2 linked regions of the Yarrowia lipolytica genome follow. Each later gene encodes a partner of the first gene's protein in a complex. Links are inferred from orthologs where the notes say so. Each region holds a gene or a part of one and is shown in the gene's direction. Other genes may lie near its edges. The genes, in order: YALI1_B14993g and YALI1_B27485g.

Region 1 (7,162 bases):
AGTCACTCTTCATATGCATTTCATAATGTGGGTACCTGATAACACATCTCAACAAATGTATGCTCTTACAAAAAAGACACTCTTATAATGAAGCGCTTGGGCTCTTATTCCTTCCTCAGTTAGTACTCGTTTGTCAATTCAACTCCTCACTTCTCAAGATGTTCTCTATCAGCCCCATCTCCAACCTTTTCGCTGGTCTGTCCTCAGAAGACTTCGCCGAGCGATACACCCACTACAACGAAATGGAGAATAATGAGACGATGACTGGCGTTGTTGCAATACTCAAGAAGGAACTCCACAATGACGCCCACAAGGTGTTCCTGCCCGAGAACGAACTCAAGACCATTGCTCTGTCTGAGTTTGCAACCTACAGTGTAATTGAAGAGGACGAAGAGTACCCTGTCTTTGTCGAGACTCAGAAGCCCCTCAAGTTCTATCCAGAAATCTCCACCGAACTATGGGACGAGATTTGTCAACGCCAAGAGGAGGCTACAGGTGTCAGTGCCGAGATTTCCGGTATCAACTTCGACTATGGAGCCACCTCCACTTACTGTGTCCCTATTCATGGACCTGCTGTGGTTCTGAAGTTCGAGACAGTGGTTGAGCTGCTCCTGCTCCTGTTTCTCAATAATAACTAGACACTTGGGTACAAATAGAGACATGTTAGTCAGTCTGCCAGTGTTGCACGCATTGGAAGATGGCAAGAGATATTTATAGTGATTCATAACGTATACATTGTACAGTATGTACTTGTAGCGATTAAATCAATTAATAAATTTCATTTGGTTGTGATAGCTGATATCTCTGAAATTGGTGTGTCCAGATCAGATCAACTCATTGTGCAGTCTGTAGTGCAAGTAACCCCAACGACCTTTAAGAGATAATTACCCTTGATTACTACAGCACAGTGCTTGTCCCCTCGTGATCTTCGGTTCTTTCTTCCCGTTCACTCCTCTTGGATCATATTTTCATTTTAATATACGTAACCAGATGCAGATCTGACCAACTCAAATCCACAGCTGTCTATGGCTAAAAGTACAGCGTCAAGAGATGGAAATCTAGACTGCGATTTTCTGGAGCTGGGCAATGAGCGCTTTGAGCTCCTCGTCGGTGGACTCTTCAGAGGGAGTGATATATCGCTGTGTTAGTTAGGTTTCATATTAGATGCATGACCTGTAAGCGAGCAACAAGCGCCAGGCCAGCAGAAACAAGGAGTGAGATAGTGACCGGTAGTATCCAATGAGCAGTTGACAATATTCTTGAGTATCTGGTCATATACTTCAATGGCCTTTTAGTTATCGTGTCGATTGCTGCGCAGTCACGTATGGATCCTATTGGATCTTTCTGGACACAATACTCACCTTGTTGAGGTAGACGTTGATGTCGACTCGCGACCACTCCTCCAGCGGAGCCTTGGGATCCTCGGAGGTATCAATCTTTGCGTCCTTGACCTTTTTCGAGGGCTTCTTGGTCACCTTAGGTGTGGACTTGTTATCGAGGGAGGCTGTGGGCAGAAACAGGGCTGCGGTTCCTGCAATGACGACGGCTGCAGTAAACACGTAGAAGAAGTTTCGTGAGATGTTAGATCGGCTCATTTTGTGGGTTTGTGTCGGGGGCAGTTGGTGGTCGACAGTGACGATGTACTAATCAATGTACTTAGTAACCAAATTCAAATGGTCGTTATTGGCTACATATACAGAGTTTCCCGTTTGAAAATTCACATGAGTTGGGACTCGTGCAGAGTGTGGCGTATGGTGGCGCGTTAGACATGTCTGCGATGACGTGCTTGCGTGTGGTGTGGTTTGTTCTTGTGCAAGAACTTTTTCCAAAGAGAAGCACAACACATACTCATAGACAAGAACCGCTGTACGTATGTACTGAACCGCTCTGTTCACAAGCTCAGTCAGTCCACTGCGTTTCAATTGCCTGTTTTAAGGCTATCACGAAGACAGTTCGGGTGGGTCGAGTCACATGATACTTTTTTTTTTTTTTGAACGAACCAGTCCATTGTGAAGTTACCGTATGTACTTGTAAGTACGATATGTACTTGTAAGTACGATATGTACTCGTAAGTACGATATACTCATACGTACGTGAATTATCGTATCGCACTTGTGACAGACAATTAACCTTGTGGCGGGCCCACAAGCCGAACCACACGGATATTGAACTCCGCCCGTAAACCTCATACTGTACTAAAATTAGGATCTGAGATCATGCCAATTGGCTATGATAAACGATGACAAAACGGGGCCAATTCTTGGACATTCAGTACACGCTTGAATACCAATATAATGTCTCGTACTTGTACCTCACGGCTGTCAATATGGCAGCTTCTCTTCTTTACTCCGCTTTTCTTTTCCCAATATCTCTTTCTCGTCTGAGACAAAATCGCATGAGCTAAAACACTCCTTGGAACTTCTGTTCAGTCTTCTCCACATGTATTACGTATTGCAAAAGTTCGTTCTAAGAATAGGCCAGTGGAGGAAAATGACAGGTGACAGATACTGCACAGGACTAGAGTCGTTGGGTAGTGAGGCAGCCGAGGTTTAAAATATGAAAATTGCAAATGAAAGCTCCCAACACTCATTTTGACACCCTGTTAATACCGTGTTTTATCATCACCGACTTCACCATCACCTCCTCGTCCCACAAGCTCCCCGCTGATCACTGAAATATAGGGTTGACCTTGTACATCTTTGCCTTGAAAGTTGAACATACAAGTGTGTATTGGAGCGGTTGAACAGGAGATGTAAAGGCCGTTAAAGGCTTCCAAATAAGCACTAATCTTTGGTGAACTCTCCATCTCCTAATACTTCCCAAAATCGTCTTCTTGTATCCTCAATCCATCGGCACAAGCCCCCACCCCTCAACAGAGTTGACATGCATCAGCTTGTCCCCTGCGCTGCAGTATACGTACTCAAAATAGCTACAAGCTATAATAGCCAATATACCAGAACCACCAAACCTCACCACCACCTCCGCTCTAACGACACCTAATGCAACCGGTACGACAAGCGGCAGGCCATGAGGGCGCGTTAGAGGACGAGTCACGTGACATTTTCGTCAAGCGCGCGCTTCCCAAGGAAATTGCATTCTACCAACATGTTCAGGCTGGCGTCTCTCGCATTCCCGAGGGCCTGGATGACGAGGCCTACGAGCAGCATCCGGACGCCCCTACGGCTGACCTTGCCGGCGTGATTCCCGTTTTCATGGGCACACTGATGGAGCATGAGTCGGCGGCGGGCGATGCAGGAGGAGACGGGTCGTCTTTGAGTTACGAGGATATCAAACAGCGATTGAACAAGAATGGACAGGGGATTGAATTAGTGACGGAGTCGTCTACTCAACACAACCTACTTGCATCGTTATCGAAACCAGAGACCCACTCCGTTGGACGGGGCCAGGAAGCTCCGCTACACCCCTCAAATGCCTCCATTGTTCTGGAGAACCTCACCAAGGGGTTCATTAAGCCCTCCGTCGTGGATATCAAGCTAGGAGCCATTCTGTGGGACGATGAGGCGACCCCGGAGAAGCAGGAGCGAATGAGAAAAGTCAGCGAAACTACAACGTCAGGGTCTTTGCATATGAGAGTGGCCGGAATGCAGATATATGCTGGAAAAGAGGCTGCTAAGGAGCCTGGAGATCCGGAAAGAGGCATTGTGCCATCTGACTCGGGATACATTGAGTATGGCAAAAAGTACGGTCGGTCATTGACAGATGGGGACATATCGTCATGTCTCAACAAGAACATGTTCCCTGTCAGCCATCTTGGCTACGACCGTGCCTCGGCACTTATCTCCGTCATCATTCAGGAATTGCTTTACATTCGACGGGTCTTCCGCCGCATTGAAATGCGAATGCATTCGGCTTCTGTTCTAATCATCTACGAGTCTGACTTGCAGGCGTTTGATGACCGGCTTAATAATCAAGGAGAGGAAGAGGTTGGACCTCTGTACCAGGCTAAGATTGTAGACTTTGCACACACATCGCTTACGCCTGGAAGAGGTCCCGATCTGGACTCCATCGAGGGTCTCTCCAAGCTCATTTCTATCATGAAGGGATGGGAAATGTAAGTGTTGCCCAAAATAACTATACTAATGCATTATTATAGCATCGACTTGAAAAGGTACAGGGTTCTGGGCGATTGTGTGATGTATGGAGGCACCGAGATGAATGAGAGGCCAATGGTCACAGTCACACTGGCACCCATAGCTGACGTTGGAACGCGTGACCAACTTAGAACAATTACCCAAAAAAATGATGGGAAAATCCGTAAGGTTGCTTCAGAGTCTGTAAAGTATTAATATTATCAAACAGGAAATACAAGTAAGTACTGTATGTACCGTACATGTACTTGTAGCCAAACTCGACCTCCACTCAGCGTTCTCGCTTGTTACCCTACACACAGAACTCTATGCGCATCAAACCTGCAAGCTCGTATTAATCATTAGACGAGCTCTGGTTTTCAACAATACTCCCCCAAAATGGCTGTGAGTATTAGCACTACAAAGCAGTGTCGACACGCGGAAACTAACCCAGCAAACCCTCACTAGCATCAAGGACTTTCTGGCCACCTGCAGCCGGGATGACGTCGAGAGCGTCACCGTCAAGTACTCGGCTAACGACACCAAATTCAAGATCCGATGCCCTCGAATGCTCTATACTCTGACCGTTGATGATCGGACCAAGGCCGACAAGATTGTCCAGTCCCTGCCTTCTTCTATCAAGATCATCAAGATCGGTAAGTAAGAGGTTCCGCCGCTCATTTGATAATTAATTCAGCATTTTCCATCCATTATCCAGAGGAGGCGGTGGCAGGTTGCGGTATCTGATGGGGTACCGGTATGTACAGCATGTATTGTGCATTGTATACTACACCAAAATCAAATCAATGGAAGTGATCTACTCGTGGTAGCTAAAGTGTCTGTGCACAGGTACTGTAGCTGTGCTGACTTCCTCAGCAAGGAGGAGAACCTGGATGTGTGTTTGCATGCTCAGTACAGTAGAAGTAGTTAACAGTTCTGCATCCCCCAGTGGTCTCCTATGCATTATGCATCAACAGTACAAGTAATTGGATCTAATTCAAGCAACAGAATGAATGTGACTTGTTCTCTTGTCACCGTAGCTATTGATGCTTTTGAAGAATACAACACCTATGAACGCACAGTATTGTAATACGTAGAGCTCCCAAACAGTCACACAATTGGCAGCCTTCTCACCCCACAACTTTTAATCAATTAATCCACAAACAAAAACACTTTTATTATGCTGTAGTCGCTATCACCTTCAGCTCTATCTATCTATCGCAGTTGCTAGCTTACAACTTGATGTACTGCTCAACCTCCTTCTTAGAGCAAACGTACAGGGTCTCACAATCGCTGTTGAAACCGTTGAAGGTGGTGGAGGCTGCCACGGTGTAGGCACCAAAGGAAGTGAAGTACATCCAGTCACCGACATCGAGAAGAACAGGTAGCTGGCACGACTTAGAAATGCAGTCGATACCGTCGCAGGTGGGGCCCCACACAGAAACGTCTTGCGAGGACTTCTGCTTCTGGTATCGCTCACCGTACATGAACTTGCCCTGGTAGGTCAGAACCTTGGGCACGGGCTCCTGGTGGTCAAACAGAATGCAGTTCATGTTTCCGTAGACACCGTCGTTGAGGTAGAGCATGGCCTTGTTCTGGTTCTCAATGATTCGTCGAGCAATCACATGAGAGGCAATGGTGAAGGCCTCGGACACAAAGAACCGGCCGGGCTCAGCCATGAGGTTAACTCCGCTCTCCTCTGGGAAGTACTTGTCAAGAGCGTCCCCCAGAACGGCAGCAGAGGACTCAAAGGAATCGTCCGAGAAGCCTCCGCCGACATCCAGAGTGTTGAGGTGCATGCCAATGGCAGCTCCCTGGTCAAACACCCGCTTAGCGTTTCGCACAGCGTCCAGGAAGGCGTTGGGGTCTCCAGCGCCGGATCCCACATGGAAAGACACACCGGCCACGTTCAGACCGAGATCCTTAGCAAGCTGGAGCAGCGACTGGGTGTTCTCCAGAGCAGCGCCGTACTTGACAGAAAACTGACACAGAGACTGGGAGTCGTCGGTGACAATTCGGAGGAACAGCTTGGCGGTAGGGTGGTACTTTGCACACTTGTAGAGCTCCTCGGCGTTGTCAAACACCATCTTCTCCACGCCCACAGAGGAGGCGTATCGAATGTAGGACGCCACCTTGCAGGGATGCGCGTAGATGATTCGGTCCTGGGAGACACCGAGGTCCAGAATTGTCTGGATCTCGTTTCGGGAGGCGCAGTCGAAACCGGTGCCGAGGGCTGCGAGAAGCTGGAGAACCTTGGGGTCACCGTTACACTTCATGGCGTAGAAGGGGGTGACTCGGGGAAGGCAGTTACTCCATCGCATGAACTGCGAGTAGACGATTCCGAGGTCAGCCACGAAGAAGGAGTCTTCGGATCCAGGAGAGCAGGTCTCGAGATCGATAGCCTCGATTCGGGTCTTCATGGCGTTAGCAATGAGCTTCTCGGACTCAGAGAGGCCTTGGTCAATAGAAGCAGAGACCTCATCCACAAAAGAAGCAGGGTAGCTCAGAGTGGGGCACGGTCGTGTGCCGAGAAAGGATGAGTCGGCCTGGACGGGCTCGGGGCCAAGGATGTGAGGGGCCATCACTGTTTGCGTAACTTGGGGGAAGTTAGAACTTGAGGGGGTTACTTATGGTAAGTAAAATAGACCTGTCGAGAGCCGACAAATCTGTCTTGGAAATCACCGCAAAATGACGATTGTTTTGTGTGCGTAGCGCAGTGGCCGTAGACTCTGTTTTGTTGAGAAAAATAGAGGCAACGGTACTCGTACTTATAGTGGTAAGCGTGAGTGTGTTTTGGGGTGAAGTCAAGATAAGTTGCGAAAAGAAACTGCTGACAGCGCTGTATGTGTACAATTTGGGGTATGACTCGCCCTCTGACACTTTTTAGAACTCTAACCCTATCTGCAATCATTTTTTTTATTGCCCTCCCAGAGCAAACTCAACCTCCATTTTGCTTTGAGGTCCTATTAGCCATATGAGTGGCCCTTGCTGTTACACGGTTGGGTGAGACACAGCCCAGGTTGCGGTTTCAACTGTGGCTGTGAAGGGCTATAGTAGTGCTATCATGACGAAAG
Region 2 (7,742 bases), about 1.2 Mb from region 1:
TGCTATACAACAGGCTATTGACGAAAATTTTCGCAAGAGTTTTTTCATTTGGCTCTTCATACCTACAACGTAGCTACAGTAGAAGCTGCGAGTACTGTATGTGCTTGGATAAGCTATTCAACGACTAATACCTTAGGCAAATCGACCTACAAGTACATGGTCTCATAAGAATAATATACAAATGCGATTTATATCCGACTAATTATATCCTTATACCCGTATCTCCTTTTATCGTCCAGGTCCAATGGCACGTTCCTTGGCCAGACGCTCCTTCTTCTGCTTGGCCTGCTCCTCCTTGCTGGGTGCCCTTCTCATAGCCTCCTCCTGGGCTGCAGCACTAGATCCAGCACGTCCATCCCACGCAACTACAGGCTTCTTGGTGGGCCGTCCGCCGTCTCCTTGCTTGGCCTCAGCCATTCGCTTCATGTTATGGGTGACTCCACTGGTGGCCAGGTTAGTAGACTGTGCACGGGAGTCCGCCAGGTCCTTCTGAGCCTTCCAATTGGGGTCCAAAGTGTACACTCGCATGTGGGAATCATACGAAGACTCAGGAACCACCTCTCCAGAGGGAGTAACAACTGTAGCAGGAGAGCTATTCTTGAGTTTATTGAGCTTGGACGTTCCAGCAGGTCGAATTTTCATGTTAGAAGGAGCAGAGTACACTTTTGGTTCCTCCTTGACCACCACCTCTGTACTCCCCTCCTTGGCGTCCTCCTTGGCCTCCTCCTTGGCGTCCTCCTTGACTTCCATCTTACCCTTGGTGACAATCTCCTTATTCTCTTCTTCGTCGTCGTCGTCACTGTTGGGAGCGTATTCCAGCTTCAGACCTCGCGATCGCTGCTCCAGTGAAGAGAACTGCAGCTGAGCAAGAGTAAGGGGAGCTGGGAGCTCCCCAGTCTTGTCCTTGTCGGAAAATACAATGGTTTCTGCAACCACAAAGTCATGCCAGTCGATTTCTGCAAATGCAATCCGTTCTCTTTCTGCCTCTTCGATGGCCCTTTGGTTCTTCTGCTCAGTGTGGGAGATCCACTCGGCACGCCTCTTGGCTAGACCCAGAGCGTAGAACTTGTCCTTGACAGCAGCCTCAATGTTGGTCCGTGTACTTTCAGGAAGCGCCGAGAAACCAGCATCTAATGCCTGACCTACCTTGAGATACTGTTCCACCAACAGCTGGTAAAATTTGTGCAGCGAGTGTGAGGGCTTGAGAAACTCGTACTGGGGGTTTCTAGCCTCATTTTTCGCAAGCAGCATAGAAAACGACGGCCCGTACTCGGCTGTGTGTTGGGCAGTGGTGTGGATGACCTCGTGATCCACTGCCGACATTGGTGGAAGCACTGTGTGGAACTCGAAGGCAGGTGGTTCTATTAGATGATCAGACGTGTCTTTGGGCTTGAGCTGAGCTGTATTAGCGTCTGTCTCGCGTGTTCGTCCGCTGGCGTACTCGTCACATCGCCACTGGTAGTATAGATGATAATGGTCGTCATTATTGAGGAAGGAGAAGAGGGCGTTGGATCCTTCCTTTTCCCGGATCCGGTGCTCGAATGCAATACCATTTTTGGCGACAAACTCGGCTGTCCGCTCGATCTTGGCCTTGATCTCCGGTGGCGGAATAATGATGCCTTCCGGGGGGTTCATGTTGGATGCTGACAGTATGGTGATGGAGGTTTGCAACGATTATGCATATTAAAATATGCACAGCCAGATGCAATGGCAGCAGCGAGGCAGCTTAGAGAGTGGTAATATCGCTGTATAAAAAAGAGAAGGAATTTATGTAAGTGTTATTCTATAAAAACACATGACTCGAAAGAAGAAAAAAAAAAACAAACACCACCCAGACACATTCCTGCAACATACATATACTGCTCTCCATTTCTGTGACTGTTAAAACGTCTCTTAAAACAACAGGCTTATTTGGGTTACCAAAACCCCGTCAGTTTGAGCATGTCCCAACATTAAAATCCGGTTCTAAACCTCAGCTCCCAGAGTGCATGGAGCTACAGTACATACCTGATACTGGATAACCGAAACAGACTTGTCTCTGGACTACACAGCTTGCCCAACACGACACAAGACAGGGAAGGAAAACGTGCCGAGTATATATACACACAGCACACAGCCAGCTCGCGCAACCTTGCAAGATTAACAGCACACAACGCTATAACGAACTCAAGACAAAACATCACAAGAACAACCACACCCCTGCATCAGTTTCCTCAACCTGCTATGAAGCTACTGGTGTGCCTGGAAAACAGCGGGTTACTCAAAGAAGTCAAGGTCAGTCTCGCCACGGGTGACCACAAGGTACGTGACGTGGGGTTCAGTGAAGGTAGCGCGGTGCACGTATCCAAGGTGATTTACGACCAGAGACAGTACGTTGCTCTCGGGCGGAGGGATGGAAGTGTGGAGGTGCTGGACGTGGAGATGGGCACACCGAGAAGGCTTTACCCTGCCCACAGAGAGGTATTTCACCCCTCAGAGCTGTTCGCGTCCATTGATTATGCACACAATCTGCTCTATACATGCACCACTGGAGGCATGGTGACGGTGAGGGAATGCAAGCTGGACCAGACACAGACGAGCGACGAACTGCTCAGCACACATCACCTGGGCGATGCAGTGTCTGTGTTACGCCCCCACCCTACTCAGCGAGGAGTAGTCGCTTTTGGAGGACCACAGAGAGTTCTGGAGGTGGCCATCATCCGGACCAACCGCAGGAACCTGTGGCGATCGAGCAAGGAAGAGTACATTTGGATTTCAGACGTGAGATTCACTAATGTGCGTGGGACAAGCGATAATGCCGAGCCAGGCTACTCGTTGGTGGCGGTGTCACGATATGGAGACGCCTACATTTACCAGACAAATGTTTCTGCCCGGCCGGTCCGGAAAATCCAGGTTGGCGACTATCCACTCACACATCTCCACATGAACCACTCGTTAGGCGGAGACGCCTTCTACGTGGCCAACTCGCAGAACCAGGTGTCGTTGGTGGATTATGACGGCCAGGTGCGTCACAAGGTGTGTATGCCTGAAGGGAGTGTTTTTCTGGCAGATTTCTTTAGTCCAGCAACGCGCCAGGACCCCCGAGTGCCTCAGACAGAGCCCATTCCGTCCACATCCATTTCCCGAGGGGATAATCTGCAAAGTGCGCTGTGGGGCGAGTTGCTGATGCGAAGAAGACAGCATACTCGACAGCAACAACTTCAGAACCAGAACCAGAGTACGGAACCGGATCCTGATGCAGACAACACAGACCACTACGTGCTCAACGATGATACCCATTCCGATGAAGCCCCTCGACGGCCTCCGTTCGATAGACGGTACTTTGAGCGAGTATTAGGATTATCGCGTCCTCGTATCCAGATAACTACAGGAGGAGAAGATCGAGCACGCCGGGAAGCGTCACGTGAACTGAGACGCGAAGAGCGGCGTCTCAGAATGATCCGAGCAGCCCCAGGAAATCTGTCATACTCTTCGTTCGGGCAGGGTCCTCTTGTAAGACGACACCAGAGATGGTCTCCTCTTACTCTTGCCCGTGATCTACAGACGATTAGACGACCAGAGACAGCTTCAGGGCAAGCCTGGACTCGTGACACGGACGATTTGATCGCCAATCCCTCTGCTTCGTTGCGTGCTTCTCGGGACTCTGATTTCTTCCGAGAGCTGTGGTGCGATGACGATGAGCAGTCTCTCATGTACTTCAACACCCTCTCCAGCGTCCATTTACCTAATGAGGGCGAGGAAGAGGAGGAAGAAGAAGACGAAGACGAAGAAGAGCTGACGGTTCGTGAGAGTGATACGGAAGAGTTGTTTGCACCAGGCATTCTGGGCGGCTCCTCAGAGATTGTGGACAGATTCATGCCTCCTCATCTACAGACTAGCCGTACCACAGCTCCTCTTCAGCCCTCTATGGGTCGGTTTGTAGGGGGGGTTCAGTATGAGTCCCGGGCCTCGGGTCTGGATCTGACCGTGGTTGCTGGTCTTGATCGTCATGTGCGAGTGTTTGACATTTCGCAGCCGTCTATCGCGTCTCGAGGCCGTCTGCTCTTTGATATTGCGTTCGAGTCTCGAATCACTTCGGTAGCCATTCTGGAGGTCAGTGAGGAGGACATTTGTGAAAAGACCAAGCGTGCCGCAAGTCCAGTTTCCCGCGATACCAAGAGGCAGCGGGTTTAGCTCCGTTGTATATTTATAGCTAACATATTTTAATAATGAGAGTCATACTGTAGTGAGGTGTGCGTGTGGTGTGCTCGTATACTACAGTACATACTTGTAATATAACGTGTGTTTTTTATTTTAATTTTATATTTTTTATAATTAGATATTACTGTATATGGGGCTTATTTAACGGGTCAACTAATATAGTTAGATTTAGTTTATAACTCAAATTGGGTCTATTTGAAGGTGTAGTTGAGGTCGTACTTTGATTCCAATAACTGAACAACTAAAACAGCTTCCGATTACTCTGGTCTGAAATTGAAAATCTCAGCCATTCGAGATTGCTCTTGATAGTTGCATACCCCTCATTCTGTCAGCTGAGACCTGTTGGTCTCATCTAATGTTTCTGTAACGTTATAGATTAAGGTTATATCACATGATTTATCCCAAAAGGAAAACACAGTCACATCCCGATTGGGATGTGAAAACTCTACCGTCGCTGGGTGGTCCCAAATAACCAAAAATATCTGCACGTCTCAACTTCTTCACTGAACAACACATATCGCCATGCCTACCAGATTCAGCAAGACCCGAAAGCACAGAGGCCACGTTTCCGGTAAGTATTGAGAAACGAAACTAGTGCGAATGGTGTGGCGATATCGACTGGCATAATTAAAGCAGTTGATATCAAATATCCTGCTGGGTACAGAGGTTGGAGGAGGAGGAAAGAGACTGATTGTCGGGAAGGGATGTACAAACATTCTTTTTGGACAAGAAGGTCTGAGATGCAGAGCGAGCGTCATGGCTATCATAACTCGTTATTTATGCACACATTTATCAGCATCAGACGGATTGTATGACTCCATCCAACCACCTGTACTTGGCAGGAAACCACATCCTTCAAGCACTTTTGCAGATACCCTTTTGCGCAGAGAAACACATTACTAACATACAGCCGGTTACGGTCGAATCGGTAAGCACCGAAAGTCCCCTGGTGGACGAGGTATGGCTGGTGGTCAGCACCACCACCGAACTAACATGGATAAGTACCATCCTGGTTACTTCGGTAAGGTCGGTATGCGATACTTCCACAAGCAGCCTAACCACTTCTGGAAGCCCGTCGTCAACGTCGAGAACCTGTGGGCCCTTGTTCCCGCTGAGAACCGAGACAAGTACCTCTCTTCTGCCTCCGAGTCCGCTGCCCCCGTCATCGACACTCTCGCTCACGGTTACGGCAAGGTCCTCGGTAAGGGTAAGCTCCCCAACGTCCCTGTCATCGTCAAGGCTCGATTCGTCTCCGAGATCGCTGAGAAGAAGATCAAGGCCGCTGGTGGTGTCGTTGAGCTCATTGCCTAAGCAACCCACTTGTTTGTAAAATAAGTACCCAAAAAATGTATTTCGCATAATTTATTGTGACAGAGTTAAATCTAGCGTATGAGTAAGATCGTAAGACAAATCAGGCGGCTCTTACTGTAACTTGCAGTAGAATTCTCAGAGGCAAATGTTTCCGATTATGCAGCAGAGAGTCGTCCGTTTTTATAGCCCACAAGTACAGTAGGTAGGTACTGTAGATTGATTTTGTTGTGACATACTTTGAAGCTCAACGTTTTCCATTCCAGCTCTTGTTGGCACAAAACTGGAACCACGTACAATGCGTACGGTATATAAAAATAGAGGCAAGCGCTTTCACAGAGACATCGTCGATGTTGCTTGATATCCTTCAAAATTGCTGTCCAAGAGAAGTTTGCTTACTTGAGCGAGTTGTAAACTTCCGCAACACTACTGTAGAAGTAAGCATTTCCGATACCTGGTACCAAGCCATTATGAACAGAGCATCTTGTGTGTGAAATACGCCAACCAATAGGATATGACTAATGTTGTTGAATAATGGTTTTTTTTGACAGAGTCACCCTTTTTCGCTTCTTTTGTCCACTTGTTCTGTAAAAACCACACCACTTGCAATGTATCGTATGTACTGTAAGTACATGCTATATACCCGTGGTCTGATTATCTACATGCATGATCTGGTATTAAAATTCAAGTCTCTTTTTTTCCAGAAAAAATAATCCTTCGATACAACAAACGCAGTACCCGTCATGACCGACACCAAACGAGCTCCCGAGGAAACCGGTCTGCCCGACGCCAAGCGTGCTCACATTGACGACGTTGAAAAATGCTTCCACAAGGGACTGCTTGACCAGACCTCTCAGGATGAGCTCAAGACACAGATTGCTGAGTCGGGACCCTACAAGCACGGAGTTATCCCCCAGCTGATTGACGATGAGCTGTTGAGAAGCGTGCGAAAGGAAATCATGGAAGGAGTACATTTCACCCGAAAGGAAACCGATATCTACAAGGTGTTTCAGACCGGAGACCTGGCCAACCTATCTGGTCTCAGCGAAGAGGAGCTGGGTACCTTGCCCTCGCTCTTCAAGCTCCGAAATGCCATGTACTCTCGAGAGTTCCGTCACTTCATGTCCTACATCACCGGAGCCGGTCATCTGTCTGGTTCGAAGCAGGATATGAGCATTAACGTTTACCAGAAGAGCTGCCACTTGCTCAACCACGATGATGTCATTGGTACCCGACGAATCTCGTACATTCTTTACTTGCCTGATCCCGACGAGCCATGGAACCCTCGATGGGGAGGAGCTCTTCGACTGTTCCCCACTATTCGACCCAATGTGCCTGCTTCCGACTGGACCGTTTCTATTCCCCCTGCTTGGAACCAGATGGCTCTATTCAAGATCCAGCCCGGTCTCTCGTTCCACGATGTCGAGGAGGTGTACGTTGATAAGCCCCGAATGAGTATTTCTGGCTGGTTCCATATTCCCGATGTTGGAGAGGAGGGATATATTGAGGGCGAGAAGGAGGAAACGGAAGCCCTGTCTTCTCTGAAGCAATTGACCAGCAAGAGTCTTCGAGAACACGACTTCCCCAAACGAACTCCCGGTCAGGTTCCCGAGGACGAGTTTGCTCATCTCAAGGAGGGTCCCAAGGACGATGACGATCTGTTTCTGTCTGACGACGACGTCAAGTACCTCAGCAAGTACCTCAATCCGCATCTGCTGACAATCAAGACCGTCAAGCAGCTCAACGATTTGTTTTGCACCAACTCGCAGCTCGAGATCAAGGATTTCCTCAACAGCGAGTACGTGGGTGTTCTGAAGAAAACAATTGATGCCGAGGACTCTAGACCTCCCAAGGAGATGCCCCAGGTGTCTGAGGAGATTGTACTACCCTGGAAGCTCGCTCGACCTCCTCACAAGGCCCGATACATGTACCTGGATGGCTCTGAGGAGGCCGATAAGGAGCCTGAGGTCGGAGAAGAAGAGGTTACAGTTCGGCCTGACGAGAATGGAGGCTTCGAATACTCTGAAACGATTCTCTCTGGACTCAAGGACACTGACAAAGCAGCTACTTCCAAGGTTTCGGAGGTTGCTGCCCTGTTCAAATCTTCAGCTCTGCGACGATGGATCTCGCGGATTTCTTCTCTGGCTCTAAAGTCCGAGAACATCATTGCTCGACGATTCCGACCTGGCTTTGACTTCACTCTGGCCACTGCCCAAGACGAGTCTGACATTGCT

The links.
Region 2: YALI1_B14993g (region 1) and YALI1_B27485g share a complex: the UniProt entries of both Saccharomyces cerevisiae proteins name them as parts of the large ribosomal subunit. The link is inferred for Yarrowia lipolytica from reciprocal best matches to the Saccharomyces cerevisiae genes RPL38 and RPL28.

The regions. Positions count from the first base shown.
Region 1 is NC_090771.1:1,494,839-1,502,000, forward strand, and holds YALI1_B14993g (60S ribosomal protein eL38), read left to right. Parts: upstream 1-4,487; coding exon 4,488-4,493; intron 4,494-4,542; coding exon 4,543-4,752; downstream 4,753-7,162. Other genes in the region: YALI1_B14948g (uncharacterized protein), read left to right, coding at 60-638; YALI1_B14959g (uncharacterized protein), read right to left, coding at 1,059-1,139, 1,362-1,595; YALI1_B14978g (uncharacterized protein), read left to right, coding at 3,000-4,076; YALI1_B15015g (uncharacterized protein), read right to left, coding at 5,321-6,670. UniProt on the Saccharomyces cerevisiae protein: Component of the ribosome, a large ribonucleoprotein complex responsible for the synthesis of proteins in the cell.
Region 2 is NC_090771.1:2,743,809-2,751,550, forward strand, and holds YALI1_B27485g (60S ribosomal protein uL15), read left to right. Parts: upstream 1-4,722; coding exon 4,723-4,771; intron 4,772-5,110; coding exon 5,111-5,511; downstream 5,512-7,742. Other genes in the region: YALI1_B27454g (uncharacterized protein), read right to left, coding at 229-1,635; YALI1_B27460g (uncharacterized protein), read left to right, coding at 2,224-4,173; YALI1_B27500g (uncharacterized protein), read left to right, coding at 6,252-7,742. UniProt on the Saccharomyces cerevisiae protein: Component of the ribosome, a large ribonucleoprotein complex responsible for the synthesis of proteins in the cell.